Linked DNA regions of Nothobranchius furzeri. The protein of the gene in region 2 purifies or fractionates together with the protein of the main gene of each other region. This does not show direct contact. Links are inferred from orthologs where the notes say so. Each region holds a gene or a part of one and is shown on either strand. Other genes may lie near its edges.

The links.
Region 1: the proteins of nmnat2 (region 2) and fbxo45 purify together in Homo sapiens (co-immunoprecipitation; 3 studies listed by BioGRID and IntAct, with this or other methods). This does not show direct contact. The link is inferred for Nothobranchius furzeri from reciprocal best matches to the Homo sapiens genes NMNAT2 and FBXO45.

Annotation. Positions count from the first base shown.
Region 1 is NC_091747.1:41,232,843-41,241,445, forward strand, and holds fbxo45 (F-box/SPRY domain-containing protein 1), read left to right. Parts: upstream 1-2,824; 5' UTR 2,825-2,968; coding exon 2,969-3,295; intron 3,296-6,079; coding exon 6,080-6,436; intron 6,437-6,515; coding exon 6,516-6,701; 3' UTR 6,702-6,934; downstream 6,935-8,603. Other genes in the region: fam168b (myelin-associated neurite-outgrowth inhibitor), read right to left, coding at 391-474, 556-625. UniProt on the Homo sapiens protein: Component of E3 ubiquitin ligase complex consisting of FBXO45, MYCBP2 and SKP1. Functions in substrate recognition but also plays an important role in assembly of the complex.
Region 2 is NC_091751.1:34,805,427-34,813,517, forward strand, and holds part of nmnat2 (nicotinamide/nicotinic acid mononucleotide adenylyltransferase 2), read right to left. Parts: intron 4,811-8,091; coding exon 4,722-4,810; intron 3,853-4,721; coding exon 3,785-3,852; intron 3,384-3,784; coding exon 3,305-3,383; intron 3,068-3,304; coding exon 2,932-3,067; intron 2,788-2,931; coding exon 2,707-2,787; intron 2,587-2,706; coding exon 2,542-2,586; intron 2,357-2,541; coding exon 2,280-2,356; intron 2,101-2,279; coding exon 1,999-2,100; intron 1,035-1,998; coding exon 967-1,034; intron 894-966; coding exon 791-893; 3' UTR 1-790.

The DNA.
Region 1 (8,603 bases), on a different chromosome or scaffold from region 2:
ACAAACTGCCATGGTGACTTATCAATATACGTAAACTAATCCAAGATTATAGCAGCCAATACATTCACTCCTGTGTATTCATCATTATAACATTAAATTGTGGTAATACATGACTTACGAATATGTTTAAATTTGTATTTAATTTGTTCAGTTTAGGACCTGAATGAGTTCAGAGAGAATTTTTGAGCAGAAAATCTAAATTTATGCAATTTCTATACATTTTAAATGTATTTTCTTTTTACAAAATTCAAGAACTCAAATCAACTTATGGATGTAGTCTAAAATATGTTTTTTGTGTTTTGTTTTTACAAAAAAGTGATATAAATTTAAGTATTTAAGTTACACATTTGTTATGTATTTATTATAATTTCTGGTGGGTTTCATTCTTACCGCTGGGAAAGGCAGGGTTAGCTCCTGCATAGACACCTGGACTGTATGATGGGGCAGCAGCTGCATAGCCAACAGGGAATCCAGCTGTTGGGATCAAATAGAGAAGAATTAATCCTTTGAACTCCATGTGTGGCTTTGTCCTCTTGTTTGACCAGATAAAACTACCTGGATAGCCTAAACCCTTCGTGTTGGTAAAGGGGACCCCTGTTGGTGCAGGGCTGTATACAGGATTCATCGTGGCCGTCTGCTCACAGCTGCTGCAATCAAGAAAACAGAGGTTCATTTAAACGTGGTGCAAAATGAACTGAAAATATTTTAGATTTAATCGAAATTCCACAAATCTGCTCCTAAACAACGTTTGCTAGAATGTTTAATATGTTTTATTGCCTTTTTCCTTCCCCAAAGATTGGGGTACAGATCTAGGGATACACTGACTATGACAGGACTTTACTGTTAGGACTTATTAATGTTGAATTGATACAAAAGACAAGTAATCCCTTATGTTGCAAAAGCTACATTGCAACAGAAATATAACTTCTATCATTAGATATGTTCAGGTGGCAACAACTCCAGATGTTTTGAGGCTGAAACAAGTGTTTGCATCCAGCTCAGAGACGTCTCTGTGCTGCCCCTGGCGGTGATGATAAAACACTGCTTTCATTACATCACATTTCAAATAGAAGGATGGAAAACCATGAAAAGGGACACATTTACATTTGATGCTAAAACAGATACATTAATGAGGTTACAAAATGCATAAAAAAGAGGCAAACGACTGTGCACAGTAGTGATGACAGTTAATATTTGTTCTCTTTCTTTCTCATGGCACATTTGAATAATTTAACCTTTAAAAAATAAAACACAATTTTATAAAACACCTAAACCGGCACACTTTCATCATGTGACGACATTTAAACTACTTCTTGCTCTGATTTTAGATAAACATAACTGAGAATAAAAGGTCATAACTAATTAAAACAATAATTTCCTATAAAGGAGAAAATGTGCAATTAACTGACGCTTATCTCTTGTCTCGTGAACCGGTTTATTGTATGTATATCAGCACCATTAGGGTAGCGTTATAACCGGTTAGTAGAGCAGTCGGATCAGAAGATAACCTTCCAGGTGACATACCGAAGCTTCACCACTAGCTAGCTATAGCTCTCGAGGATTCGGAGCCGCAGCAGAAGCTCGGCGGGTCGAGCCTGTCCGGTGTCCGAACATCGGCTCAGATATTCAGTCTAACCGGAACATCAACCAGTGTGGCCGCGCAGAGTCACCGAACCGTCGTCCCTGGACGGCCCACATATGATGGGACAGGCTTGTCAACAGGCCGCTCGGTTCAGGCAACAAGCCAGCCAGCTGTGCTCCGCAGTGACGCCTGTCCCAACATAACATACATCTCACAAGTCTCACTAGTTTAAATACACAGAAAACGTATAGTTCACCGTTTCAATCGCGTGTTTCTTCTCTTCTCTGCGACAGAGACGTTAAATAAAATTAAGCTAGCTGGTGTTTTGTTCCCAGATGCTTTGCTGAACTCTTTTGAGCACCGAGCGTCACTTCCGTGTAGAGTCACGTGATCTCTATAGCGCAACATTTTTCTTTTGCCTTCGTTGAATGCTCGATTTTTGTCTTAAAAAATTTAAAATTGAGCTATTTTTCTCTCAACATTTACAAGATTGGATGCAATTTAAAATCAAATTAAGCTGAAAATAACAAGCCTCATATATTTATTACTTTAAATGTGCTTAAATGTTATAATATTTAGCAATGTTTGTTGTTATAAACTGACAAAATGTTTTCTAAAATATTTTCGCAATGATGTCACGTAGCAGAGCTCCACATCATTTACACACTAGTGAACGTAAGGGTGCACTAAGCTGGTGGGGCTTGCACACCTTTACTGCGACGCACGCCCACATCGGCGTACAAAGTACACCTATCACAACAAAAACACTGCGACTGTTGTATATAGACTGTAAATTAACAAGACGTGTCGTTTTGTGATATTTCATTCCTCTGTGACACATGTATGTTGTCAGCTGCCAATCACATAAAATACTCACATTTATTTGTCAGATTGTCAGAATTTTAAGGCTTTTCCAACATTTAATATAAACTCCTCCGATGGTCTTCGTTTCCAGTCGGGTCATACGCCGGTGACTGGAAGGAGTAGACCCCGTGAGTTCATTATCATGGCTGCTCCGTGGTCCTGACAGGCTTATAAAACAAGTTACTTGAAAAATCCTTTTCTTTTAGTTGAAAATTCCTACATATTTTAGTGTATCATTATTATAAAATATTTGATATAATAAACACGATATACACGTGATGTTGGTCTGCTTTTAGATAAGGCTGTTACTAAAATATGTGTTCTTTAAGGACCTTGACGCATCGTTTCCATTCAGCCATTGAACTGGGAAGACTAGGGTCCACACTGTTTTGGAGTAAGTGCGACTTGTTAGCGCTTTAACGGCGAAAATGATTCGATTTGAAATATTTTAGACCTCGTCCTACGTTGTATAGGGTGAGATTATTTGGTCGGCTGGCATCGTCGGTAAGGAGCAGGGGTTTAATGTCAGCAGCAGCCGCCTTGGGAGGAGGCTCGCCCTGTTTGGGCGCAGCAGCGGCGGCCAGTTGCAGCTCAGCCGGCTCTTCCTATGCTGCCGCAGCCGGTGGAGGCGCGGGAGTGGCCGGGAGGTTACCGGCCCGAGTGCTGGAGCACATTTTCTGCTATCTGGAGCTCTCCGACCTGATGCGGTGTTCACTGGTCTGCTGGCACTGGAATAATATCTTAGCAGACGAGAACAGCGAGGTGTGGCGCAGCCTCTGCAACCGGAGTCTGAGTGATGAAGCACTACGGTCTGATGTCCTCTGCAACCTGCCCACCTACAAGGGGAAAGTAGGTTCACCAGTGATAAGGTCCTTAGGATGGAGAAGGATGTGATTAATGATAACTTCCGGTCAGAAATGTACCTACATTTTGTGTGTGTGTGTGTGTGTGTGTGTGTGTGTGTATACATGTGTATTGGCTTGGCTTGCTTTGTTTCAGAACAAGCACAAACTGTTATTGTTTACTGTTGCATCCTCCCTTCCCACTGAATTAGTTTTTGTCACACTCAAATGTTTCCGTTCAGCCACCATATTTAAGTATCAGATAAAGACAACCAGAAATAATATTACATTGATCTTAAATGATTATTTCCCTTTTTAAAGGGCAAATCTATCCAGAACAACCTGGTTCTATGTAGAAGAAGAAAATAACTTTTCTATAGCGCCTCTTAATAAAAGTCACAAGGCGCTTCACAAAAACAAAAAATGTAAACATATAGAAAATAATTTAGAAAATTATTAAAAATATATTTAAAATGAGCAAAAAAAGATAGACAGTTGTGATTACAAATGTAGAGAAAGAGAGAGAGTGAATAGGAAAGAGGGAAATCAGTGGATCCTGAGGAAGGTGCAATAGGTAGGGAGAGCAGAACAAGAAGAGGGTGATGAAGATCATACAAAAGCCAGCTTGAACAAGTGAGTGTTCAGCTGCTTTTTAAAGGAGACCACCGAGTCCACTGATCTCAGGCTCAGGGGGAGAGAGTTCCAGAGTCTGGGGGCCACAGCAGCAAATGATCTGTCACCTTTGGTCTTTAGCCTGGTGCGCTGCACAACCAGTAGGCTTTGATCACTGGACCTCAGGGACCTGCTGGGGGTGTAGGGACAGAGAAGATCACCAATGTAAGATGGTGCTTGTCCATGTAAGGCCCTATAGACCAGAACCAGGATCTTGAAATGAACCCTGAAGTTGACTGGCAACCAATGAAGCTGGAGGAGAAGCGGGGTGATGTGGGTGTGTTTGGAGGACTTGGTCAGAAGCCGAGCACAGGCATTCTGAACCACCTGTAGACGGTTCAGGGAGGTTCTGCTCAGACACGTGAAAAGAGAGTTACAGTAGTCTAAGAGTGAGGAGATGAAGGTGTGGATAACTGTCTCAAGTTCAGAGCGAGACAGAATGGGACTCAGCTTAGCAATGTTCCTGAGATGGAAGAAGGAAGAGCAAACAAGAGAACTGACATGAGAATCCAGGGTGAGAGCAGGGTCAAAGGTCACACCAAGATTCCTGAAGGAGGGTTTGGTGTGAGAAGCAAGCTGACCAAGAGAGTCTCTGACTTTGGGAACCAGCTTGTCTGGGGCACAGATGAGGATCTCAGTCTTATCTTTATTCAGCTGAAGAAAGCTCCCAGCCATCCAGGTTTTGATAGAGTCTAAGCAGGTGTGGAACAGCTCCAGCTTAGACATCTCATGAGGCTTGAAGGAGATGTACAGTTGGATGTCATCTGCGTAAAGATGGTAGGATATTCCTTTGAAGGAGGTGCTGAAGAGGAAGCAGATAGAGGAGGAAGAGCAGAGGCCCCAGCACAGAACCTTGTGGAACACCATGGGTAAGAGAGGTGGTGGGGGACCTAAACTTGGAGACGGCCACAGAAAAGGAGCGCTCAGAAAGATAAGAGGAGAAGCTGTAGAAAAGTAATTAACCTTTAAACATTTTAGCAGGTTGTAACAACCTACAAAATCTACAATCATCTATTATGATAACTGGTAATGAGCATCATTGTAGAGGAAATCTGTTCTACTCTTCTTTGCTGAATTGTTTTAAACCTAACATGAATGACATGTTTAAGGTCAAAGGTCAGATGTTTTCCTTCAGAATGTTGTGGTAGAGAGCAGAACTCTTGGATCCATCACTTACAGCAAGTGGTCTAGGTCCTAAAGCAGCAAGGCAGCCCCAGACCATAACACTTCCACCACCATGTTTGATTAGGTGTTATTGTTGGTTTTACGTTAGATGTAATGGGACACACACCTTCCAGAATACTCAGCTTTTGTCTCAACAGTCCCCAGAAGTCTTAGAGATCATTAATATGTTATTTTAGGAAATGTGAGATATTTTTTCTCCATCTCTTGTTTATTATTGAATCCTGACCTCTGACCTTAAACCTAACCAGGTGAGCCCTACTGTGCTTTTGACCTAGCTCTGGGTTTTCTTCTTTTAACCCTCCCACTGTCCTATTGGGTGACACCCCTCACCCCTGCCACATGCACCCCAAGGGATAAACCATCAACCCTGCTCAATGGTCAACTTCCCTGGCGGGGTCACCCAGTAGGACAGTGGGAGGGTAAAATATCTGTATAAAAAGGAATGATTTGGTGCTTTTTGAGATCAATTAGCCTAAATCATGTTGCCAGACACTTTCTATTGAGGTGATGTCTTTATTCTACAGGTCTAGTGAAACTGAACTCAGCTTCCCAAACAATCTAGTTAATCCCAGTTAATTCACAATTTAATAAAGGGATTTGATTACCTTCTTACGCAAGGCCAGGTTGATTTGGATATTAGTTCTCCTAATAAATGAAATCATCATTTGAAAACCACTTTTTCTGTTTACTCATTTAATCTTTGTTTGATATTGAAATCTTTCTGTTAATCTGAAACGTTTAAAGTGACAAGAAATCAAAATCAAGAACTTTAAGGGGAAATATTTGTTCGCATCATCGAAGACAATAAAACAAACAAAAATTGTAAAGTTAATAAACAATTTTAAACACTGCTGATGGTATAAGACCATGGAAAGTCCAGTTATGTGTCTCACTTGCCCTTCTATAACAGCTGTGTCTGACTGTCCTCCTGCAGCTCAAGTCTTATCAACATGCCCTGAGTTCTCACGACTGCTCCAGAAATGTTTATGTGAAGAAGAATGGCTTCACTCTGCATCGTAACCCCATCGCTCAGAGTACAGATGGTGCACGAGGCAAAATTGGCTTCACAGAGGGGCGGCATGCTTGGGAGATCTGGTGGGAGGGCCCACTCGGCACCGTGGCAGTGATAGGGATCGCCACAAAGCGGGCAGCGATGCAGTGCCAGGGCTACGTAGCCCTGCTGGGCAGCGATGACCAGAGCTGGGGCTGGAACCTGGTCGATAACAACCTGCTTCATAATGGAGAGGTCAACGGAAACTTCCCCCAGTGCAACAATGCTCCCAAATATCAGGTGTGATGTTTGACTTTTACAGTTCTAGTTCTTTTTAAAATATATCTGTAATCTGATGTGGTATAATCTTCGTCCACAGATCGGGGAAAGAATACGGGTGATTCTAGACATGGATGACAAGACTCTAGCTTTTGAGAGAGGCTTTGAGTTTCTTGGAGTAGCATTTCGTGGACTGCCTAAGGTCTGCCTGTTCCCTGCTGTCTCTGCGGTGTACGGCAACACGGAAGTCACCATGGTTTATCTGGGAAAGCCTCTGGATGGTTAGGGGCAGACTGGCCTGTGCCCTCAAACACATAAGCTCCTGAGAAGCCTCCTTTTGCAGCAGGACCGCTGACTCCTCTGCCTACTTGAACAGTTTATGGTTGAGGAGGTCAGAAGGTTCTTCAAACTTCATTATGACATGGAAAGAAGTGTTTCTCCAGCAGCTGAACATAAGCTCACAGCAGTGGAAACAAGCAGGAAAAGCTTTGGATGTCATGAACTTGTTATCGCCGTGGAAACGTCCACTTTTACAGTTTGCTGCTCGACCCATTTGTGGACACTTCAGTTTGTTTTATAAAATTAAAACCGTGCTAAATGATGACCTGAGACTTTATGTCTGCTTGAATGAGGCCAAAACTTCTAAACTGTGGCAAAATCCAACTTTGAGTGTTATCAAAAGTTGTTTGGTGTAAGAATGAGTGGAAACACTCTGGTTTAGCCAAGTTTAACTATAATATCTGAATTATACTGAATTAATGCCAAATGGTTGTACCCTGTTACATTTTGATAGTAGAACCAGGAGGACATGAGGACTTTTGCATGAACTGTGGACTGAAGTATTCCTCCTTTTAAATAACCCATCAAGTAATGGTGTCAACTAAACCTGTTAAACGTGTCCTTCCTATTGTGCTACTGTAGTAAACCTTATTTATTTGTGATTTAATCTCTGGTACTATAGATACAGTATGGTTATGAAGCCTGGAAATAAAGTCATTTTGGTGCCACTGGTAGAAGAAGGATGTTGTGTTGAATGTGTGCTTCACTCATAAAGCCTTTACACCAGTCTGTTAGTGTGTCTGAACAGCTTTGTAACATTTAATTTGTGCATCAGCTGGTCACTAACGGCACCAGCAGAAGTGGAATCTAGTCAGCCGCTTTGGTTTGGTTTTTCTTACCCTCAAATCTAACAGAGGCTGATTAGAAACTCTTCTATTTTATATAAATATCATCTATTAAATTAATCACACTAAATTATTTGCTCAGATGAGGGAAAACTTACTTGTATCTAACTTTCTGTGAGATTTAAGTTTGAAACTATTGTTCTTGCTGGTTTATTTTATGCTAACATTCAGGGCTGCTCAGTTATGGAAAAACAATACTATATTGGTACGACACAAAAACTGAATTCCTTTGTAATACTTCTTAGCATTAGATACATTTTTGGAAATCCTGATTAGTCGCATTTACTGTGTTCTGTAACTTGTAGTGTGCATTTATGTAATTAGCATTACTAAACATGGACGCCCCCACCTGTTGGTGTTCGCTTTTGTTTGAGTTTTTTGTTGGTGGATTGGTTGATGCGCTTTACCACAGTTATGAAGAAAAAAAACAAGCATTTACATTTTGCTCCCAACAGGAGCCGTAGTTTTGTCCCAAAGATTTCACTGGACATCTCTTCTGCAACAGGTGGAGAACAATCTTGAGAGAGGTTGCAAGGATCAGAGTTAAAGAAGGTGGAGGATGTCAAGTACGTAGTTTCAAGAGTCTAGACTAATGGGGAGTGTGGAAATGAGGGGAAGGAGTTCAAGCAGGTTGGAGTGTGAGATAAGTGTTTCTGCAAGAAAGAACAGAAACGTGTTTAAGACAGTGGGACCAGTGATGCTGTGGTCCAGTGACAGGAGGTTGTAGGCATGACAATGAGACCAGCGGCCAGGCAGAGAAGGTTTGGGTGTGTAGAGAAGAGAGATGCTGAGGATGGAACTGCCAGACTTGAGGAAGACCAAGGAGATTTATGGATGCAGTGAAAGTGTACATGAAGCTAAATGGTGAGAAAGAAGAGGTTAGATGGAGTCAGATGATTTGAATACAACAGAAGAACAGTGGACTTTTTCTGTTAACTATTTGTCTATTTGAGGATTGGAGGGGGCAAAAAGACACATTAAAATCCAAACATTTTATAAGTCTG
Region 2 (8,091 bases):
CTCGTTTACAGAGCTAATACAAACGTGTGTCGCCGTGGAAACGATCTTCACTGAAGCTAAATGTTATTTATAATAATTTTCCAGACATGTCCACGACAGACCATAATAATCTTGAGTGAAAACATTAATGCCAGAACCTAACCAGCAGAAGAAAGCATGCAGGAGGAGAAACAGAGGGTCCAGTTCAGTTGGCTCCTCACCATCACCATCCCATGTTGCCATGGTAACATGACTCACCAGGCTCAAACTGATAAAGTTCAGGTTCAAAACAAAGTGAGATTTGAGGAATATCTGTGCGTGTGTGTGTGTGTGTGTGTGTGTGTGTGTGTGTGTGTGTGTTCAGGCCAGGTTCTTGAGTGAAAGTGAAAGTTTCTGACCAACAAACCTGTTCTGTTAAAATCTCACAATAATAATTAACATCCAACATGAATCCAGAACCGGATCAGAACCGGGTCACCTGATAGAAACCAAACTCCTGTTTAAACTATGAGACTTGGTAAGGATCCATGTGCTAACATCTGGATCAGGTTCTGCCCAGCCTAGCCCTGAGCATGCTCTGCTGCTGACCATGCACCTGTTTACACATGAAGCCCCTCCCACCCACCCCAACAAAGGTAGGGTCACATGACACAGACAGGAGGCACAGATCAAAGAAGAGTATAAGTCTGAAGACGGACGAGGAAGTTTCAGTTCTTTTTTTTGGGGGGGGGGGGGGGGGGGGTATAGAGTAGATGGTTGTTGAAGCCCCTCCCCCTACCATCTTTGTTCTGGGTGTTTTCATGTAGCAGGTTTATCCAGAGGCGTTGATGTACAGCTGGCTCTGAAGGATGTAGTCAATGACGGGCTGACTCAGGTAGTCCACGACGTGGCCGTCACCGTGCTGCAGAGCCAGTCTGGGGGGTGGGGTTAAAGGTCAGATCACATCAATGGTTTATGGCCTCTAAATTCTGTGATTAGTGATCCCACCTGCTCTTTGTGGAGCTGACAATGGACATCGGGTGGTTTGTTGCATCCTTCACCGTGACGATATTGTCCTAAAGCACACGGCAGCGTAAACACAAGGCACCATGGGAAAAACGATTTCAAACGTCCTAACTTCTCCAGAGGCTGACATCTTAAAGGTCTTAGTGGAAGGTTGGGCAGCCGCAGGTCAGGAGGTTTAAACCGCCTCTCACGATAAAAGCCACGAGGCGCTTCACAAGAACAAAAATAAAGTTTAAAAAATATTTTAAAAGATGATTAAAAATAAGTTTAAAAGGAGAAAAGCAAAATAAGGAAGGGGAGCGGGAACGTGAGTAGGAAAGAGGGAAATCAGTGAATCGTGTGAAAGTTGGAATAAGAGCGGAACAAGGAGAGGGTGGTGATGAAGGTAGAGGGCGCTGTCCAGTAATCAGAAGGTTGCAGGCTTGATCTCGGCTCCCGCCAGAGAATGCTGCCGCTGTGCCCTTGGGCAAGACACTTAACCCACCTTGTCTACAGGTGGTCGGAGGGTCCGGTGGCGCCTGTGTACGACAGCCTCGTCTCTGTCAGTGCCCGGGGCAGCTGTGGCTACAATGTAGCTCATCACCAGAGTGTGGATGACTGATTTAGCTGTAAAGCACCTTGGGGGGTTGTAGAACCCTAAGAATGCTCTATACAAATACAGGCCATTTACCATTTAAACATTAATTCAGCAAAATTCCTGATCTAGTCTGTGATCAGAAGAATCTGGACTCAGGTTGTTACCGTGGCAACAAACGTAACAGTATCAAAATACTTTACTCTGCAGGTCGGTTCAGCCACGCCTGTCGCATTAGCCTCAGCTGGTCTACCACTGGCTTGATCAGTTTTGTGTCTGGCCAATCACAGCGTTCTACGTTTGATGGTTCTAGTGCTGTCCAATGGACATTTTTCTGTCTTTATATACACTATGCGGAGACGACCGTAGATTACACCCCACGACTTGGAGGTGTCAGACGCTCGCCAGGCTTCCATAGAAACCCCACACACCTATCTCACCTTGTATTTGCGCAGGATTGACGAGTGATTCATGATCCTCTCAGTGTCGACTCCGTCTCGAGGAACCACCACGATCCCAAAGTCTCCAACAATAACCTCCATCTGAAACCACAAACACTCCAGAACGTTACCTCCAGCTTGTTCTTCAAACTGGGGCAGGTGTCCTTGGCAAAAACATCCACATCAAGCATCAGTCATGTGATAAAGAGATCATCTAAGGGGCGGGGCTCCATGTAGTTGGGTTGGACTACATGAGAGTGGGTGAGGCTTATTGTGCTTACATCACTGTCCTTCCAGAGGCCAGGGATGCAGAAGGACTCCAGGAGGTCACTGCCACACAGGAGAAGGATGCGTAACTCTACAGGTGACACACGGCAGGAGGAGAGAGACAAAACATCCTCAGTAAACATCACGTTTACCTTAGTAAACATGGCGGTAACCATCATGTTTACGCTGTAAACCAGAAGTTTACTGGAGCCAAACAAGCCAGAAGGAAATGACACGCAGCAGGAAGTCCTGACTCGTTCGGGTCAGAAGACTCACCGATCTCCTCGTATCTCATGGCGGTGCCCAGGTTGGCGTTTTCATCTGAAATAAACCATCAGCTTTGTTTGTAAATACAGTCTCAAAGGTCTCATTACCAACAAACAAAAACTTATTTGGTTCATTTTAGCAATAATTATGAACATTTTCTACTCGTTTTCTTACCAACAAACGTGAAACGTTCCATCTGAGGACGAACGCAGCAGATTTTACCCAAACTCTCACCGATTTTCCCCCAAAGTTTGACTGAGAAACACAACAAACATCTTATTAACCCACGAGAAATGTATGTAATGAACACATGATGTGTCTAATGAACACATGATGTGTCTGATGAGCACATGATGTATCTGATGAACACATGATGGTGTCACTCCGGGTTGGACTCACTGGCCGTGATGTTTGTGTGTTTGTTGTTGATGGTGCTATGGTTCTGGTAGATGGGCGGAGTCTGGTTCTGAGGCTGACCAATCACAGGAGTGGTGGACGGCGTGTTGACGTTGGACAGGATGCAGCCGGTGACTCTCTGAGGGACAGAAACACGTTTGGACTGGATCAAGCGGGTTTCTCCATGAACAAAGTTCTGACTGGTTCTGTTTACATGTTTCCGCAGGTCATTCAGAAGAATCGTCCCAGAATCAAATCTGTAAGTAAAATATTCCATTTCTGCTCTTCGGTTCATTTTTGTCCCTAAACCTGATGCCTCAGCACTTTGGCTCAGGCGGAACCTCCAACCTGAGCGGACCCGGGTCACCTGACTGACCTTCATGAGGTCGCGGTGATGCTCCAACACGCTGCAGGTGGTCTGCCAGGTGTCCTGGTAACACTCCCAGGGGTCCACTCTGTAGGAGACACAACCAGAACCATCACAGAGACCTGACCCAGTCAGGACAGGCCACACTCATTCCGACTTTGTTAAACTCGGTCACTTCCTGCAGAAGTTTCACAATAAGAGCCTGAAAAAATATTCTGGTTTTAGTCTAGATCTCAGGATCTGATGTGGGATCTGATTCAGACTCTGAAACAAAAATTCAAAACAAAATTATTTACTAAAGACAATCAAACTAAATTTAATATCAGCCAGATGGACGATGTACATTTGAGGACATCTTCAGTCTGACATGAGAATGTCCCAACATGGCCACCGTAGACACAACCCAAACTGGGACAGAAATAACAGTTTTAATGTTTGTTTTTTGTTTCTACAGGAACAGAAACTCTGAATGACTGACAGACAACTCACCTGATCCAATCAGATGACTGGACGGCCAGCTGACACATGGTGAGACGATGTCGGCTGGACACCAGGCCCTGCACACACAGACAGGCTCCATTTGTTTCTGAGAAATACGGGTTCTGGTTGGACCGGTTCTGGAGCAGAACTCAACAGGATCACAAAGATGCTAAATCAGTTCACCTGGATTTAAAAGGGTAGTTCTTCAGAACCAGTACAACCCAAACTGGATCAGCACCACATGCTTTTATTTTGAAAGAGTTTGACTGGATTTCTGCAGCATTTATTTTTCATGTTGAGTTTCTGCAGCAGAAGGAAAGTAGGACAAGAGCTTTGTTAACTCCTTCAGAACCAGCATGGACCTGAGTCCCAACCGGCTTCACATCTCCTGCAGCTTCTGCAGACCCAGGTCCTCCAGGTTCTGATGGAGCAGCTGCAGCGGACTTTTGGATTTGTTTAGAAGAGGAGAAGAACTGGGAGGAAGAGGAGGGAGCCGACCTGTACACCATAGACCTGGTTAGAGTTTCTGAGGATCTGGATCATGTGGTCTCCTGGTTAGCAGAAGAGCTGCTGCTCCTCTAGATCTAAATCTGTAGAGCTGACCCTGTTTAGGCGACCAGATGGAACTTCTTCAGCTCAAGTCTCCCTGAAATGTTTGACCAGACATGTAAATTTGTGATTCTTTGTTCTGTTCTGCAGAACAAAGTAGAACCTCAGATTTATTGAAGCAGACGCAGGATCAGAACCTAAACCCGAGTCTGGAACACAGAGAGGCCAAACGCACGGCCCAGAGGAACGTCTGGGTCAGGCACAAAGCTAGCTCCTCCTCTTCGCCTCTGATCTCATCTGTAAACCATCAGTTAATCAAAGCCCATGTTTCAGGGAGCATCAGAACAGAGCCACCATCAGGTGGATTACATCATCACTGACATCACAGAGCACTCACAGGTTTTCCATAGGAGTCGTGAACTGGTGAGATGATGCCTCCGATCACAATGAATCTTCCTGTTTTGTGCAGAAACTCTCTGGCTTTTTCTGCAGGAAACAAATGAAGAAGTGAATAAAAGTGAATCCGGCGTCAGCTGTTAGCTCTGGATTAAAATCCATCATTTCATCTGTTTGGATTGGGATTATCTGATGTTATTTATTCACTTCCTGTACATCCACAGGATCCGATTCTGATGGGTGTAACACCTGATATCCTTTTATTTTGTAACTACGATTCAGCTTTCAGCCTTCAAAATAAAAGTCTATTTATCAGGCATTTAAGCTTTAAGCTTGAAAGTGAAATTAAAGTCAAATCGGATAATCCCAGCTCCATCAGAATTCTTCTGGAGCAGAACCTGAGAGGATCAGACACAAATAAAACCTACATGTTAAAAACTGAAACACAAACACAACCAGAAACACAAACTGAAACATCACTCTCATTCACGTTTGGATTATTTTCTAGTCAGCAGCTCATTGTTGGCTGACATTTCAGACACTGAGATACACCCCATAGTTGTCAGCGACCATGCTCCAGTTTCTTTAACTCTGGTAAATAAAAAGACAATCCCACCAAGCAAAAACTGGAGGTTTAATACATCACTGCTTAAAGACGAAGGTTTTATAGAATTTTTTAAAAAGGAGTGGGGTTTATATTTAGAACATAATGACCTGCCTGGAACATCAGCATCTATTCTTTGGGAGGCAGGAAAGGCAGTGATGAGAGGTAAAATAATCTCTTTCTCATCACATAAGAAAAAAACGGAAAACAAACGTATTCAGGAGTTAGAAGAAATCATCAAGTCTTTAGAGGCATCCACAGAAGAAGAGTTAATGATCAAATTACGTAAAGCTAAATTAGAACTTCATGGAATTATTGACAAAAAGACACAATTTTTAGCACAAAGACTATGAATAGAAAACTTTGAACATAGTAATAAATCAGGTAAATTCTTAGCTAGCCAATTAAAAATAAATAAAGAGAAAACTACCATATCTGCTGTTAAAGACTCAACCGGGAATATAGTATATGACCCTGAAAGAATAAACAACACCTTCAGAGACTTTTACCAAACTTTGTACTCACCACAGATAAACCCATCAGATAATGAGATCAATGAGTTCCTTGACAGGATAACACTTCCTAAATTATCAGACAGCCAAGTTACAGTCCTGGACTCGCCACTAACATCAGCGGAGCTCCAGGAAGCCCTTAAATCCATGACGAATAGGAAAGCTCCAGGTCCAGACGGGTTCCCAGTAGAATTCTACAAAGAATTCTGGATCATTCTGGCTCCAATATTTTTCAGAATGGTGAGGGAAATCGAAGAGAGCAGCAGATTACAGCCAAACATGAATTCAGCCAATATTAGTTTCTTGTTAAAACCAGGCAAAGACCCGGCATTTCCTACCAGCTATCGCCCAATTTCTCTTATTAATGTTGATCTCAAAATAATTTGTAAAGCCCTGGCCAAAAGATTAGAGAAGGTAACTCCCTTCATAATACACCCTGACCAAACTGGTTTCATTAAAGGTAGACAGTCATCCACAAACTCACGTAGATTACTTAATTTGATAGATTTCTCTTACAGTAGAAACATAGAAACTAGTATATTATCTCTAGATGCAGAAAAAGCTTTTGATAGAGTTAACTGGAAGTTCTTATTTGCAACTTTACATAAATTTGGTTTTGGGAACTTCTTCATAAACTGGCTACAAACATTATACAGTTCACCAACAGCACGTGTCAGGACGAACGACCAGATATCAGCTAGCTTCTGTCTTCAGAGGGGGACCAGGCAGGGATTCCCACTCTCCCCCTCACTATTTGCTATCTTTATTGAACCACTAGCAGCAGCAATTAGGCAAACAACAGATATTAAAGGGATAAAGTGTAAGAAAATAGAACATAAGATCAGTCTTTATGCAGATGATGTTTTACTCTTTCTCCAGAATTCTCAATCCTCTCTCTCCCAAGCAATAGAACTGATAAACTCTTTTTCCAGAGTTTCAGATTACTCTATAAACTGGTTAAAATCCACAGTTCTACCAATTAATTTCTCATTTGTCAATTTGCTTAATACACAATTGGAGTCAGGGAATATCACATACCTGGGAATTAATATCTCTCCCAAGTTAGCAGATCTAACCAAACTGAATTACATCCCACTTTTAAGGAAAGTGGAAGATGATCTTGCAAGATGGAAATCCTTACCGATATCACTCATGGGGAGAGTTGCTACAATTAAAATGATGGTCTTACCCAGAATAAATTACTTATTCTCGATGATCCCAAACAAACCTCCAGCTGACTGGTTTAAATCTCTGGACTCCTCAATTACTAAATTCCTTTGGCAGGATAAACCTCCACGAATTAGCTTAAAAACGCTTCAGAAGACCAAAGACAGAGGAGGACTGGATTTACCCAACTTTTATTATTATTTCTTAGCCAACAGGCTGCAATATATACCAAGATGGTTGCAAGATAACCCATTAGACGAGTCCTGGTTAGATATAGAACAGACACTTTGCAATACGATAGAGCTTTCAGACATTATTAGCTCAAGCATAAGAAAACATGAAAGCTTCAAAAGTCTTAGTATAAGCACCTCTCTGACAGCATGGTGGGAGTATCTTAAAATGACAGAGTCTTCACTAGTACCATGCAGACGCACACCTATCTGGAACAATCCTGACATTTTGCAAAACAACAAAATGATGAACCTTCCGGACTGGAAAAATAAAGGAATCCTATACCTGGAACACATATATGAAGGATTGGACTTCATCCCATTTAATCAAATAGTCTCCCAATTTGGAATGGATAAGAATAGCTTTTTAGAATATCACCAAATTAAATCTGTAGTCAAACAAAAATTTAAGCTCAATAAAATAGAATTACAAACACCACCAAGGGTATTAGACTTTTATAATCTCAAACCCCCCAAACTACTGTCTAAAGTATATAAGACACTGTCCAAAATAGACGATAAAATTGCAATCCCTATTGAAAAATGGGAGGTGGATCTATCAGTTAGCTTTGACCAGGACTTCTGGTCCCAAACTTGTTTAAAAACTTTTAAAATGATCAGACACCCCAATTTACAATTAATTCAGTACAAAATTCTACACAGAGTACACTATACAGGTCATCGGATGTTCAAGATGGGGTTTGTGTCGTCTGACACCTGTACACACTGCACAAACAACATTTCTGACAATTACATTCATGCACTGTGGTCCTGCCCACCTGTCCAGGAATTTTGGGGTAGAGTATGTGAGGATCTGTCAAAATGTCTGAAATGTCATATCCCAACTTCCCCCTCTCT